Linked DNA regions of Caenorhabditis elegans. The protein of the gene in region 3 purifies or fractionates together with the protein of the main gene of each other region. This does not show direct contact. Each region holds a gene or a part of one and is shown on either strand. Other genes may lie near its edges. The genes, in order: ctl-2, ubc-12, marb-1 and etfa-1.

Evidence for each region.
Region 1: the proteins of marb-1 (region 3) and ctl-2 fractionate together in Caenorhabditis elegans (co-fractionation; one large-scale study listed by BioGRID). This does not show direct contact.
Region 2: the proteins of marb-1 (region 3) and ubc-12 fractionate together in Caenorhabditis elegans (co-fractionation; one large-scale study listed by BioGRID). This does not show direct contact.
Region 4: the proteins of marb-1 (region 3) and etfa-1 fractionate together in Caenorhabditis elegans (co-fractionation; one large-scale study listed by BioGRID). This does not show direct contact.

The regions. Positions count from the first base shown.
Region 1 is NC_003280.10:14,299,043-14,303,774, reverse strand, and holds ctl-2 (Peroxisomal catalase 1), read left to right. Parts: upstream 1-1,747; 5' UTR 1,748-1,754; coding exon 1,755-1,808; intron 1,809-1,880; coding exon 1,881-2,525; intron 2,526-2,576; coding exon 2,577-2,849; intron 2,850-3,587; coding exon 3,588-4,118; 3' UTR 4,119-4,219; downstream 4,220-4,732. Other genes in the region: ctl-1 (Catalase-2), read left to right, coding at 1-154; Y54G11A.7 (Tetratricopeptide repeat protein 38), read right to left, coding at 4,240-4,561.
Region 2 is NC_003279.8:11,909,590-11,912,593, forward strand, and holds ubc-12 (NEDD8-conjugating enzyme ubc-12), read left to right. Parts: upstream 1-1,730; 5' UTR 1,731-1,737; coding exon 1,738-1,831; intron 1,832-1,877; coding exon 1,878-2,326; 3' UTR 2,327-2,464; downstream 2,465-3,004. Other genes in the region: rbm-3.1 (RRM domain-containing protein), read right to left, coding at 1-8, 64-142, 361-385; rbm-3.2 (RRM domain-containing protein), read right to left, coding at 832-988, 1,074-1,152, 1,346-1,367; mag-1 (Protein mago nashi homolog), read right to left, coding at 2,558-2,956. UniProt on the Caenorhabditis elegans protein: Accepts the ubiquitin-like protein NEDD8 from the uba-3-ula-1 E1 complex and catalyzes its covalent attachment to other proteins. Plays a role in male tail tip morphogenesis.
Region 3 is NC_003282.8:12,207,631-12,210,815, reverse strand, and holds marb-1 (Isochorismatase domain-containing protein 1), read left to right. Parts: upstream 1-1,805; 5' UTR 1,806-1,808; coding exon 1,809-1,888; intron 1,889-1,945; coding exon 1,946-2,123; intron 2,124-2,174; coding exon 2,175-2,516; 3' UTR 2,517-2,628; downstream 2,629-3,185. Other genes in the region: F35G2.3 (uncharacterized protein), read right to left, coding at 79-228, 275-559, 1,022-1,108.
Region 4 is NC_003279.8:7,700,596-7,705,147, forward strand, and holds etfa-1 (putative electron transfer flavoprotein subunit alpha, mitochondrial), read left to right. Parts: upstream 1-1,833; 5' UTR 1,834-1,838; coding exon 1,839-1,886; intron 1,887-2,023; coding exon 2,024-2,116; intron 2,117-2,315; coding exon 2,316-2,445; intron 2,446-2,490; coding exon 2,491-2,781; intron 2,782-3,327; coding exon 3,328-3,584; intron 3,585-3,633; coding exon 3,634-3,744; intron 3,745-3,790; coding exon 3,791-3,859; 3' UTR 3,860-3,994; downstream 3,995-4,552. Other genes in the region: gna-2 (glucosamine-phosphate N-acetyltransferase), read left to right, coding at 1-279; T23G11.11 (uncharacterized protein), read left to right, coding at 586-753; T23G11.1 (uncharacterized protein), read right to left, coding at 822-1,186, 1,233-1,374.

The DNA.
Region 1 (4,732 bases), on a different chromosome or scaffold from region 3:
GGAGGAGGAGAGAGATCGGCTCGTTGGGAATTTGGCTAGTGATTTGGGTGGCTGTTTGGAGGAAATTCAAAATGGAATGGTCAAAGAGTTCACGAAAGTTCATCCGGATTTCGGAAATGCTCTTCGCCATCAGCTCTGCCAGAAGAAGCATTAAATTGTTTGATATTCAAACTTTTGTATATAGAATCTCGTTATTTATAAACTCTTTTTTTTGTATTTCTTCTGGTTTTTGATGATAAGAAATTTTATGTGCACATAAATCAAAAAAGCCGGAAATTAAATAGCGTTTTATCAGGCAGAAAATTGGCCACGTGACGTCATCATTTTCCTGTTTGAAGAAAATCTGGAAAATTTTTTGTTTCAGTCAATTTTTAAAGATGAAAACTTAAGTTAGACTGTAAAAGCAATTTTCGCGCCAAAATTACGGTATCGGGTCTCGAAACGACAGTTTTTTATCTATTGCGAAAATATGTGCGCCTTTAAAGAGTACTGTAGTTGCAAACTTTTGTCGCTGTGGAGTTTTTATCGATTTTTTATATTTTTTCGATGAAAACAACTCAAATATAACAATAAAAACACAAAATTAAAAAAAAAATCGATAAAAAATCCGCGTCAACGAAAGTTTAAAGTTACAGTATTTGTCGTTTCGAGACCGGGTACCGTAGTTTTTGGTGAAAACATTGCAAAATTTGGTCAACAATTTCATCGCTGCGAGACCGACACAACACTTTATTTTATTTTTGGGTTTCCCTTATCGCTTATCATAAACATGTGACGTCATCATCTCTTGTACAGAGCACCGCGACTGGGAGTATAAGAATCGCCGGAAAACATCAATAATCAGTTCGGTAGAAGTGAAAATTGAGCGTAAAATATGATCATTTTTCGATGCACCATATTTGACGCGCAATACTTCTACAAGCCGCTGTGTACTGCTCGTGGACAACTTTGGATTATTTTTTGTTTTTAAAATTCAAAATAGTCAATATATTGCTTATTTATAGCGCGCCTTTTTGACAGTAAGTTTGTCAAATTTGCGCGTAAGTTATGGTGTTTGCACATATGCACCATACAGCAACACCCCGCGGCCCGGCTAGTGGTACATCCATGCAAATGCGCTCTACTGATAATTTGAGTTTAACCAGGTTTAGGCGCAAGATAAGAAAAAAGCTTTGGACCAAAAAATTTAGAGTTTATTTTTTTCGGACATTTTTTATATACATCACAAAAATATTGGGCCACTCGTTTTTGATAAAAACGACAAGCCCAAAAGTTCAGGTATACGGTAGACAAATTGCGTACAGGTACCACTTTTCCACGTAGTGCCAGGTTGTCCCATTACGCTTTGATCTATGAAAAATGCGGGAATTTTTCGTCCAGAAAAATGTGACGTCAGCACGTTCTCAACCATGCGAAATCAGTTGAAAACTCTGCGTCTATTCTCCCGCATTTTTTGTAGATCTGTAGATTTGTAGATCAATCCATTCCCCGTATACCCTGACCCATAATCAATACCTACCTAATTTTTGTCTTTCCCCCTACTTTTTTGCCTGTCCAAAATAAGCGAGACTATGCCGTAGTCTGGTGTCCAACAACATGTTCCTTATCAGTGATAACGCTACAATCTTCTTTCTTTTTTCTCTGTTTCTCTTGTCTCTCCCAACCCATATTCCGTATTACACCTCGTCGTGGTCATTTTTTTGTTCAGAGTTTTATTTAATTCTAAATTTCCTAACTAAAATTTCAGAACCAAAATGCCAAACGATCCATCGGATAATCAACTGAAAACCTACAAGGAGACGTATCCAGTGAGTTTAGAGTTTAAAGGCACAGACGCATTTTCTACAACAACAACTACTATTTACAGTAACTTGTTTCAGAAACCCCAAGTGATCACAACTTCAAATGGAGCTCCGATCTACTCGAAGACCGCCGTGCTCACCGCCGGGCGGCGTGGCCCAATGCTCATGCAAGATGTAGTTTATATGGATGAGATGGCTCATTTCGATCGTGAACGTATCCCCGAGCGTGTCGTTCATGCCAAGGGAGCCGGAGCCCATGGATACTTCGAGGTCACCCATGACATCTCCAAGTACTGTAAGGCCGATATCTTCAACAAGGTCGGGAAGCAGACCCCACTGCTAATTAGATTCTCTACAGTCGGTGGTGAGAGCGGATCCGCCGACACCGCTCGTGATCCACGTGGATTTGCGATCAAGTTCTACACCGAGGAGGGAAACTGGGATCTGGTTGGAAATAACACTCCGATCTTCTTCATCCGTGACCCTATCCACTTCCCGAACTTTATCCATACCCAGAAGCGTAATCCACAGACTCACCTGAAGGATCCCAACATGATCTTTGACTTCTGGCTTCATAGACCAGAGGCTTTGCATCAAGTGATGTTCCTGTTTTCCGATCGAGGACTCCCAGATGGGTACCGTCATATGAATGGATACGGATCCCATACATTCAAGATGGTTAACAAGGACGGAAAGGCTATCTATGTGAAATTCCATTTCAAGGTGGGTCCTTAATGTTATTTAAATTTTTCGGTCTATAATTTCCAACTTCAGCCAACTCAAGGAGTGAAGAATCTCACCGTGGAGAAGGCCGGTCAACTTGCCTCTTCGGACCCAGACTATTCCATCCGTGACCTGTTCAATGCTATTGAGAAGGGAGACTTTCCAGTATGGAAGATGTTCATTCAAGTGATGACATTCGAACAAGCTGAGAAATGGGAGTTCAATCCATTTGATGTCACTAAAGTTTGGCCACACGGTGATTACCCACTGATCGAGGTCGGCAAGATGGTGCTGAACAGAAATCCAAGGAACTACTTCGCTGAGGTAATGGGCTGGGCTTGACCGCCTAGTTGCGCGCTAAGGTGGCCTAGTCGGTCCCTTTTCTACTCGGACTGTTTCTATACCGGAGAGCTTGCGGTACGGTAGTCTCGTAGGATTGTGTTTTGGTACTGTACAGAGCCAAAGTTTTTTGGGGTTACCACAGAAAGAGAGCAGGTTCTTCTCATTCACCACAACTATTACTATTCGAGTCAGGGTGGTACAGAAGCTAGGTGAGTGCAAACGTGCTCTACCGAACGAGTAAATTTTCTTGCGGCCATTTTTCATATGCATCGCAAAATCCAAATTTGGGTTAGTTTTCGAGATAGCAGCCAATACAGGTTTTTAGACTGATTATCATGAACCAAGCCATCTAGTTTCTGTGCTACCGTGTGAAGTGTGGTAAGGCATGCAATTGCGCTCTAACGAGAAACTAGGGCCCATAAGACGGAATTGATAGCTCTCACGTGGTGCCAGACTGTCCCATTATGGTTTGTTTTTTTTTTATCAACAAAAAATGCGGGAATTTTTTTTGCACAAAAAATGAGACTTCAGCAAGTTCTTAACCATGCGAAATCAGTTGAAAACCTTGCGTCTCTTCTCCCGCATTTTTTGTAGATCAAAGTAGATCAAGCCGAAATGAGACACTCTGACACCACGTGAGTTCAACGTGAATAGCTAGTTTTGGGAAACACAAAAACGTTTTTCCAAAACTACAGTAATCCTACAGTACTTTATTTCCAGGTTGAACAATCCGCCTTCTGCCCGGCCCACATCGTCCCAGGAATCGAGTTCTCGCCAGACAAGATGCTCCAAGGACGTATCTTCTCGTACACCGACACTCATTTCCACCGCCTTGGACCAAACTACATCCAGCTTCCAGTCAACTGCCCGTACCGCTCCCGTGCTCATAACACCCAGCGTGATGGTGCAATGGCTTATGACAATCAGCAACATGCTCCAAACTTCTTCCCGAACAGCTTCAACTATGGAAAGACTCGTCCGGATGTCAAGGATACCACATTCCCAGCCACTGGAGATGTTGATCGTTATGAAAGTGGAGATGACAACAACTATGATCAACCCCGTCAATTCTGGGAGAAGGTGTTGGATACCGGGGCTCGGGAGAGAATGTGCCAGAACTTTGCAGGGCCGCTCGGGGAATGTCATGATTTCATTATTAAGGGAATGATCGATCACTTTTCAAAGGTTCATCCAGATTTTGGAGCTCGTGTCAAGGCACTCATCCAGAAACAGGCTCGCTCTCATATCTAAACTTTCTTGAAATTAAAAGAAATTAAATGTACTTTTTATTGTAATAACTTGCTTTATTGTGTATAAAAAATATGATAATTAAAAATAAATAAAGTTAATATAACTTAAACTCTCCACCAACTCACAGCGGATGTAAAGCTCTAAACTTATCAGCAAGCCTCTGGCCCAACAGCGAGTCATGCTTCAGGGTCTCCCTCTCCACCAGCAGCTCAGGCGTCAAAGCCCAATTCTTGGGATCCTTGCTCAGAATGCAAGACTGTATCAGTGTCTGAACGAAAAGGTCCCGCTGGGCATGAGATCCTCCGATTTGGACAACTTTATCGCGAATTGGGTACATAGTCTCGGCAGCTGTGTCGTAGTCGCAGCGGGCAAAGTCAAGCATCCCGTCGTAGAGGGGCATCCCGATGGTCTTGCTGATTTGGGCATTGTCCTCGGATAGCAGCCTGAAAAATGATAGTTTGATATGTGGTAAGTTTGACCTAGGAGCTGATTATCACATCTAATTCCACATATCCTAACACCTTTCGATACAACGTTTTTAAATTTTCGCCAATCACGGTTTGATCTACAAAAAATGCGGGAAATTTTCCCTAAAAAATGTGACGTCAGCAGGT
Region 2 (3,004 bases), on a different chromosome or scaffold from region 3:
AGACGATTCTGAAAGAGATATTGCGTTAGAAATCATGAAGCTCGGGCTGGCTGGGAGAGTTACCTGACGTTGTTGATTTGTCCGATGCTGCTGAAGAAGTTTCCAAGCTCCTCCTCGGTGGTCTGGAATGGAGCGTTTCCAACTAAAAAAAAGGAAAATTTTAATTGATTTAAATATTTCGCAACCAAATTTGAATCTAAACACTTAAAATTGCCTTTTCAAATGAAAATATTAGGGAAAACTTCGCGAATTCGATTTTTCCGAAAAATCCCAAAATTTCAGGACAATATCGAGTTTTATTGGCTATTTTAACCAGTTTCCGATTGTTTAATACTTAAAATAAATTATTAAAAAACTAACCGTAAACAGAGAAGATTCCAGACATGACGATTTTAGGCCGTAGCAGAAAATTTATGACGGTTTAATTTTTCCGCTCACCCTGCCTTGGAGAAAACGTGCGGCAGTTGCGTAAAAACCGTGCCAGGGTTGCGTTTTGGCCCCGCCCCTCGAATAGCATCGATTTCGACAGATTTTTTCCATTTCAAGCTGAAAATATGAGGAATTAGTCCAAAATAAGACCGCGAAGAGTGTTGAAACTTGAATTTTCAGTTGTAAGCTCACATTGGGCTGCGCATAGCCCAGGATTCAAAACTTGCTCGAACCGAAGCCGTTCCTTCAAGCTTCTAGCCTCAACGCTTGCCATCAGATTGACCCCAAATGAAGATTCGAAATAAAAAAATAGAGCATATATATTTATGATAACGATTTCATGGGTTTATTATTATTGAGATCATTAAAGATCAAACAAGTAACAAAGTACCGATATGAAAATTAGTTGTTTCTGTTTTGAGCCAAGTTGACGCGTAGAGCTCTTCCGTTGAAATCGACTCCGTTGAATTGGTCGACGGCTCTCTGGGCAGCGGCCTCCTCGGTGAACTCGACGAAGGCGAATCCACGTGGACGTCCGGTCTCGCGGTCGCAAACGATTCTGAAAATAGAGATTCATATTGAGAGTTAACGGGTCGTCGTTCAGGAGGTTTCGGGAAGAGGAGATTTCGGGGAGAGAAGCTTACCTGACGTTGCTGACGTTTCCAGCCTGGCTGAAGTAGTTGCCAAGGTCGTCCTCGGTAGTTTGGAATGGAGCGTTTCCGACTGAAAAATGCATTAAAATTATTAAAAACTCAAATTATCTCAGCCTAATCAAATACAATAAATAGAAAAACGCCTGGAGAAAAATAAAAATTTTAGGCCAGACTTTAAATTCGGCTTTTCTCGATTAAAATCTGCTTTTAAAGCTGAATATTCCAGTTTTCTACTTGAATAATTTACAATTAACAAAACTAACCGTAAACAGAGAATCCAGACATGACGATTTTAGGCCGGAGCGTAAATATGTGTGATTCGAATCGTTTTCGCTTGCCTCCTCCGACTCGTGGGAAACCGTGCGGCACTTGCGGTAAAAGTGTGCCAGCCTTGCGTTCGCGCTCCGCCCCCTTTAGTCATTTCAGCGTTAGCAAACGCTGCGTCTTTTATTCCTCATTCTCTGTCATTTTTCATAGCAATTGTTTCATTTTCTCACGTAATTTGTCGTTTTTTCGCTGAATTACAAGATTTTCATCGATTTTTGACCCTTTTACACTGTAATTTTGCCAAAAAAACGATTATTTTCTCTATGTTTCCGTATGCGCCGCCTATATCGCTGAAAATTATCGTATTTCTTAATTTTTCGCTTTCAGAATGTTCAATCTTCAAAAACGAATCAACGGCAACAACGAGGACGGTCGGTATCTTGAAACCCGCATCGCCGTCCGTGACAAGCTCCTAGCTCAGGGTATGTGGCTGCTTTATAAAAAATTTTGATTTTACAACATTTTCAGAACTCCAACAGCTGGAGACTGCTCTTCGCGATCAGAAGCAAAAGCTGTGGCATCTCGAGGTCCCATCAACATCGTGTCTTCATGAGTTGGAACTCACCGTGACACCTCAAGAAGGAATCTATCGTGGAGGCAAATTCCGATTCAAGATCACCGTCCCGCCAGAGTACAACAACGTGCCGCCCGTTGTTAAGTGCCTGACAAAGGTTTGGCATCCAAATATCAACGAGGACGGATCGATTTGTCTATCGATTTTGCGTCAAAACTCGTTGGATCAATACGGATGGCGTCCAACGCGTAACCTCACCGACGTCGTCCACGGACTCGTCTCACTGTTCAACGATCTTATGGACTTCAACGACGCGCTGAACATTCAAGCCGCCCAGATGTGGAGTCAGAATCGCGAATCGTTCAATCATCGTGTTCGGGAATACATTTCTAGATATTGCTAAGGACCAACGGATCGGATTACAAATGGCCTGTGAATTGACCCCCCCTATGAAATTGATTTTGATTCTAACTTTTCCCCCACCTCTCAGACTTTTTCTAACTGTACTTTTTGAAAGAAATAAAATTTATTCTTGAGAAATTTGAGAACTTAAGAAGAGAAGAGAAAATCGAATAAATTAAACAAGTTAAAGAGATTTGGTGGATAAAATAGAACAGAGTCTGAAGGAATTAAATTAGATTGGCTTGATCTTGAAGTGAAGGCCAATGAGCGAGAAGACGAGGCACTTGAGATCCTGAACGAGATAGTAGAACGAGCGGAGACCATCCGGATCTTTCGAGTTGTTCACATCGGCTAGAGCTCCGATTTTGCCGGTCGTAAACGAGATGTGCTCGTTTTTGTACAGAATTTCCAGCTCCTGGCGTCCAATCTTGTCTGGTTCTGGCCAATTGTCATCGTCCTCCTGCATGATTTCCGAGTCTTCGATGATACGCTTGAGCTCGCTGAGCACCGATTCCGACACTGTCGCCTCTTTGCGGATCATCGTGTCATTCTTGTAGTTGGAGTTGTTCGCGTAGCGAAGCGATCCGTTTGGACGGAATTCGAATTCGAGAAATTCGTGACCGAATTTTCCCTGAAAATTGTTTCGTAAACTAATTTAAATTGGCGAAAATTGTCATTT
Region 3 (3,185 bases):
TGTACCTGATACATACAGTTTTTCCTTGCCATACTTTATTAAGTTAATCAAAAATTATTTCAAAATTATATGGACAAATTAAATATTATTAACTTTAAAAAGACTTTTAATTTTATTATTTTCCTTATTTTCTTCTTCACTTCCTTGCAACGCACTCTTTAAGTCATTCTGGAAATTTGTTTTGTTGAACTCGATCTCGAATTTAAGCAGTTCAATCATTTCGTTTTTCTGAAATTATAGTTTTAAAATTTAATTCCATGTAAGAAATCCGAACCTCTTTAATAATCTTTCTGGCTTGTACCAAATCATCAACCAACTCATTTGCATCTTCCTCCGCAAATTCCAATGATTCCAGTTTTTGGCTCAATTCCTTTATCACCTCGTTTCGCTCTTTCAGTTTTCTCTGAAGTCCACCAATTTTTGCCACAAAATCTCTTTGATGCATTCGAATTTTGATTAAATGATTGCTGATTTTACTTCTCTCTATTTTCATCTCCTTCTGGTGCTCTTTAATCATTTCCTCACTAGACTCGCACATTAATTTTAGTTGGTAATGAGCCTGCAAACGTTGTATATAAAAAAGAATGTCAAGATGCCTGCCTACATGCCTGCCTACCACCTAGCTCTATACATTTTGGCATGCATTCAGGAATTTAGTGAACCTCTAGAAAGTAAAACTGGGAAAATTTCCAAAGAAAATTTAGTTAATTTTCACCAAATTTTCGAAAGTTTTTTTTTTTAAAGTCAAACATTTTCCAATAAAATATTTCGCATTTTTTTCAAAAAAAACACATTTTCCCAAAAAAAATTCGATCCGTTCTACTGTCTATTTTAAAATTTAATAAATCTTCTCAGCTTTAAACACCTCTTAATTTTTTATGAGGGGCTCCAATAAATAGCTTGAGGGGAACACGATTATTGGAATTTACTTTTGAAATTGAGAAATTTTCAGACTCTCGAGAATTTCATTGATAATGCTAATAAAATATTCAAAAATATAAAAAAAAACAACAAAATTTACCTTTGCCTTTTCCTCAACTATTTGCAACATTAACAGAGCTACAGTAACCGCGTACAGTAACCCGAATAGAATCGGGAAATTATCCATTGAAAGTGTCATATTCCCGTCTTGAAAGATATTAGTTAACCACGACATTATAAAATAAAAAGATTGTCTTATAAGATAAGTAACAAACGAATGAATGAGCCGGTCGTCTTAGTCAACGGGTCAAGTGTTTCAGCCGCGTTCGTGAATCAATAAGAGCTGGAATTGCCTCCTGGCATTAGTGACTGTAGTCCACACTTTCTACTGCCTAAATTATCCATACAGGGCAATGTGATCAATTGATCAATAGGTTATTAAATATAACTATTTTATGCAGTGCAGTGTTTCATCCTTTTGGGAAAATTCACGGAATCAACAGGTGAATTTATGTTTTTTAGGGTGTGAACACAAATTGTTAATGTTATAATTGTCCTGGAGAGCCTTTAAACATTTTACAATTAATATATTATAAATAATACGTAGAAAATCAGTATTTGAACAGGAAAGTAGACATTTTAAAAATTTGAAATTTGAAAAACCGCCACAAACTCAAGCAACGACACTCCGAGATTACGAATCGCGCGTTGTTTACCGTAAATTTACACTAATTTTTGTTCTCTGAAATTTTTTTTTAATTGAAAAGCCGTCCATTTATTTATCTTTTTTTGTCAAATCCTTGTGTTTTACGTGGATGTTTGCATTTGTTTTTTATTTATTTAATTTCGAATCACTCAACTTTTTATTGATTTCTGTTCCTCAGGTGATGGCTGCGCGTAAGCTGATCGCACGTATCAACCCAACGAACAGTGCTCTTTTCGTCTGTGATCTTCAAGAGAAGTTCGCGTAAGTTTTGAAAGAAACTAGTTTATGAGCAAAAATAATTTATTTAATTATTTTCAGGTCAAATATCAAATACTTCCCAGAAATCATTACAACTTCGCGTAGATTGATCGATGCTGCCAGAATCCTGAGTATTCCAACCATTGTTACTGAACAATATCCAAAGGGTCTCGGACACACAGTTCCAACTCTCAAAGAAGGTCTCGCCGAGAATACTCCGATCTTTGATAAGACGAAAGTAGATTTTCAGATTTTTGTTCATAATTCAGTCTTATTCCAAAAATTTCAGTTTTCCATGTGCATTCCTCCAACTGAAGACACTTTGAAGAAAGTTCAAAATGTGATCCTTGTCGGAATCGAAGCACACGTATGCGTTCTTCAAACTACATACGATCTTTTGGAACGTGGCTTGAACGTTCATGTCGTGGTGGACGCTGTCAGCAGCCGCAGTCACACTGATCGTCATTTCGCTTTCAAACAGATGGAACAAGCTGGAGCTATCTTGACAACTTCTGAAGCTACCATTCTCGGACTTGTCGGTGGATCGGATCATCCAAAGTTCAAGGAAGTTCAGAAGTTGATCCTTACTTCAGCCCCTGATACTGGCCTCGTCCCGTTGTCGAAGCTCTAAATGTTTTCCGTTTACGGCTTCTTTTTTTGCCATGTAGATTTGTGTTTAGTACCTCACTATGTGTAATTACAGCATTTAACCGGTTTTCGTCCCATAAATTATGGTGGTAATTTGAGTCTTTTTGCAAAACGTTTCTTTCATCGCATCTCCTTGCCACCGTTTGACCATCACATCATGTTTCAAAAGTGTGGGTAAACATTCCGAAATTCGCGGAAACGAAATGCGCTTTGAAAATTTCAAGTGGCTCACACAGTAGAGCCCGCTAGTCCATTGACCTCCAATGTTTGTAGTTTGCGAAAATGATGGTGACGATGGTGCAAAGAAAACTTTCAGTTTTTTTTTTCAGAAAAGTCAGGTTTGTACAACACACATGCCACCACGTGGCAATGAAAAAGGCAGAGGCAACAAATAAATTGGAAGCAGAGACAATAAAATGGGTGGGTGATCTGATCTGTTGTGACGAACAAAATGATGATGATTGGATTCGCGAGCTGTTGATGAAATATGCAGAAATGAATCGAGAAAAAGAGAAGAAAAATACCCAAATATTCAAACAGACAGACGAAAAAAATGTTTTCCTGATTCGAGGAACGTGTTTTCTAAGTGGAACGACGGCAAAATATGGGTTGGTCAGAACGAGAGAATGAAGAAGCACAAAGTGAATATAGT
Region 4 (4,552 bases), on a different chromosome or scaffold from region 3:
GGTGCTGCCACTCTTGTAGTCGAGCTCAAGTACATTCATGAATGTGGACTTCGTGGAAGAGTCGAAGATGTTGTCGTTGATTTGACAATGCGTGGAAAAAGGCTGGGAATTCTTATCAACGAAGCTCTCGTTAAAATGGCAAGAAGTCTTGGAGTTTATAAACTTTCTCTGGAATGCAAAACAGAGCTTATCCCATTCTACAACAAATTCGGGTACAACGAGAACATCCATTTCATGGTTCAACGCTTCGACAAGCCAGAAATTATCACTTTGGACTAATATTTTCTCATAAATTCATCATATTTATTGTACGATAGAATTTATTTAGCTCTTAATTTCATTGAATAAAGCTGTGATATTCCTACGTATTACCTTTTTTAATATTTTCATGCCCAATGTGTCAGAAACAATTTAATATCTTTGAAATATACAAAAGGTTACGGTTTCTATGAAAAAACTTGAAACGCGTCAGCAGATCGGGAAATGCGCCAAGAGTGAGTGTAAGGCGCACGCCGCTCATTCAATCATTTATTTATTTGTTATGCAGTTCATCAAAGTTTTCAATGTTTTTCTATTTTTGAGATCATGATTGCTGTCACATCCGTTTGGACAAAATTCCGACGAGGTCTGCCTATTTACTCTTGGCCCCTCCTCGCCGCCACAATGATTTTCGTTGATTGGAATCACACTCGAGAATGGAAAGCAGCTGGAAGAGTTTCTGCTCTGGAAAAGGAGATTCTAGCAAAGCAATAATAAGTAGATAATAGTTGTAGAATAAATCTTTATTCATTCTGAATTTCAATGTCCGGTTCTCTTTCTTCTTAACGCGAAAAAGCAGTTGATGTTTTCATCGTCTGCAACTGTGCGGTACGCTGGTTTTCCTCCAAAAAGTGTTGTTTATTCTGATGAGCCATTGGCTTGATCATACTGTTTTGTGTAGTCTCGATGATTTCGGCAAATGTCAGCAATTTGTTGTCGTAGGAAGTCTTCAAAAGATGGAATGCAGTTTTGATGAGATCCTTCGAAACTGCCGGATTTCTGTACGAGAAATAAGCGAGGTGGAACAAGCTGACAGTTGTTTCAATGTAAAACGAAATAGCCAAGACGAAGTAGGATACAGCGACTGAAGTGAACGCCGAAATCATTTTTTCATAACTTGGTCCATTTTCAACAGCGGTTGCAGTGCCTGAAAGGATCGGTATTCATCGAAGCTTCGGCATAATACAACTTACTCAATGCAGTACGAGTAGACGCTTTTCCACGAGATCTGAGAGTCGAATTGATAGCAGTGTTTAGCTCGGAATCGCTCATCGGTGGGATGACGGCAGTGTTGGTCTCTGACTGCGCAGTACGGCTGTCGACGGAAGTTGCCATTCTTGATTCGATAGGCGTTGCTTGAAAACCTTTCGAGTTGTTGAGACTGAGCGAAAGACGAGAAGTGATTCTGTTTGAATTTGTGAGCAACGAAACCCTTTATCTGATTGTAATCGAGAATAATCGGCTGTCACGCATAATACCTTTTTTAATTTATAAAATTAAATGCGGAAATATATTTTATGATTTTCACGTTACACATTAGGAAAACCTTTTATCAAGTTTTTATTTAAATTAATTTTGGCAATTTCTACCCGCGCGCGTACTTTGACCCATCATTTTCTTGTTTTTCTTTTCTATCTCGGTCTCTCTGTATCTATCTCTCACCCATCCTTCTTATCATTTTCTTTATTTTCTTGGTGTAGTGCCCGTTTTTTTCAATCGTTCCACGTAAATTTGTTGTTCTTTTAATGTTTTTTTTTTCTTTTAAACGTTTTTTTTTATTTATGATATTTTCAGCCGAAATGCTCTCTGCAAGAACTGTCCTTAGCCGTGCTGGCTTGATCAGCAATGTAAGTTTTTTGTGAGAATCAGCTGTGGGTATATGATTTTTCGATTTCCAAGGTTTTCGAATTGAATATTCAGTAAATGACTCATAAATTAATTCCATAAATTGAAGAATAGAATTATAAAAAATATTAAATTACAGGCCTCCCGTCTGAACAGCACTCTTGTTGTCGCCGAGCACGATGAGACAAAGCTTGCTCCAATCACTCTCAATGCTATCACTGCTGCTTCTAAAGTGAGTACAGACGGAATTAAAAAAATATATTTATAAATTGTATAATTTTCAAGCGAATCGCAATGCAAAATGTGATCTATGATCATTGTTCCCTCCAAGTATTAGTTGTAGTCATGTTTCGAATCTTGTTAGTTATTTACAAGAGTACAGACCCTATTTTGTAGCGCGCTTCCAACTATTTTAACTAATTTTATTTCAGCTCGGAAATGAAGTATCTGTCCTCGTCACTGGAGCCAACGCAACAAAGGTTGCTGAACAAGTTGCAAAAGTGAATGGAGTGAAAAGAGTTCTTGTGGCTCAAGATGAGAAGCTGAAGAATAATCTTCCAGGTAATATAAACCGAATTAATTTTTCTATTATGCTCGTATTTTCAGAACGAGTGGCTCCAGTTATTCTTGCTTCTCAAAAACAATTCAATTTCACCGCCATCACCGCTGGATCTTCAGCATTCGGACGTGGAGTTATTCCAAGAGTCGCCGCTAAGCTTGACGTATCTTCAATCTCTGACGTCACTGAAGTTCATTCGGCTGACAGTTTCACTCGCACTTTGTATGCTGGTAATGCAGTTAAAAAAGTGAAGAGCACCGCACCGATCAAGCTTCTCACCTTCCGTGGAACATCGTTCGAACCAGCAAAGGAAGGAGGAAGCGGCGCTGTTGAAAATGGTAACATAGAAAATCGTTTTATCCAGATGCGAAGATGCGAAGGATTTTGCTCCAAGAATAAGGTACCTGCTCTCGAAGCGGCAGTTTTACTCGAACTCGAATAAGTGTATGGCTTTTAAGGGGTACTGTAGTTTTTACTTGTTAGCGGATTTTCTGAGATTTTCCGAGTTTTTCTTCTGTTTCTTCAAAGTTTGAAATTTTAAAATGTTAAAAACGGACGAAAACTTCAAAAAAAAAGTCGAAGAAAAGCTTGCAACAACCAACTACAGTAGCCCTCAAAGACGCAAACACATTTTCATTTAAGAAAATCTGCCGCTTAGAGACCGGGTGCCGTATTAGAGATAAAATCGCAAAATATCGCATCTGGGTAATATATGAAAGAAAGTACGTAAAAATTTGCCTGAAAAACGAACCCCCAGAAACTGGCCGAGCCTACTTTTCTTGTTTATTTTTATTTTTTATGACTGAGTAGGACAATTCGAGACAGTTATCCCACAATTGATAGTCCACATTTAATCCTGATCTTTGTCAAAAGTCTTTATTCAGCCCCATCCGCTGATATCAAAACCGACCTCAGCGAATTCCTTGGCCAAGAATTGAGCAAGTCTGAACGTCCTGATCTTGCAACTGCCAAAGTCGTCGTTTCTGGAGGACGTGGATTGAAGAGTGGAGACAATTTCAAGCTCATCTATGATCTTGCTGATAAGCTCGGAGCCGGAGTCGGAGCATCCCGTGCCGCTGTTGATGCTGGATACGTACCAAATGACATGCAAGTCGGTCAGACTGGAAAGATTGTAGCGCCGGTAAGAAATCCATTAAGTGAGAAGCAAAGAAAAATGAATTAATTTATAGGAACTCTACATTGCAATCGGAATTTCTGGAGCCATTCAACATTTGGCTGGAATGAAGGACTCAAAGGTGATTGTCGCCATCAACAAGGATCCTGATGCACCAATTTTCCAGGTAAAAATTGAATTTAACACAAAATTGTTAATTCTAAATAATTCAGGTCGCTGATATTGGATTGAAAGCCGATTTGTTCAAGGCCGTCCCAGAACTGACTGCTGCTCTTCCATGAATACCTTCAAATAGCCTAATGTAGATGTGTCTTCTAAATTATTGTATTCTATTTAGTAACTCGGTTTATCGGGATATTGTGATTTTCGTTTTTATGCTTTCAATGTGAATAAACAGCCAAATCTGTTTTATGAGCGTTATCACGCGATTCATAAAGAACAATTGAGAAGAGCAACACTGGAGAAAACCGAAATGAGAATTTTGTATCAAATATCATATTCACAAGAAGCACGGAAACAACGAGAAAATGCGAGACAAGTGAGGTGACGAATTGATAGATAAATACTGGAAAATTTGAAACATTCCTGGTGATGGTTTTGTGATTGGGAAATTACTCTTCTATTAATCAAAACGAGATACCCGCTGCGGGATGCAAAAAAAAGCGAATGGGGAGGATTGGGGGGAACAAGAAACTGAAAGATTTCTCAAATTTTTGAAGAATAAAAATGATGAAACTGATGGGCTGGAATAACAAAGAGATCGACAAAAAAGTCCGACGCAGCAGAGAACATTATGAGAATTTCATTTTAAAATGGACGGCGATTGAAAAAAAAAGAAACAACGAATATTTAAAACGGAAAGTTGGACCTGTATTAGAATGCGAAAAGGCCAAACATAAAAACAATATTTTTCAAAAAAGAAAAAATGGATCCAGAGGTCAGCCGCCACCGAAAAAGGAGGATTTTGAGAGGAT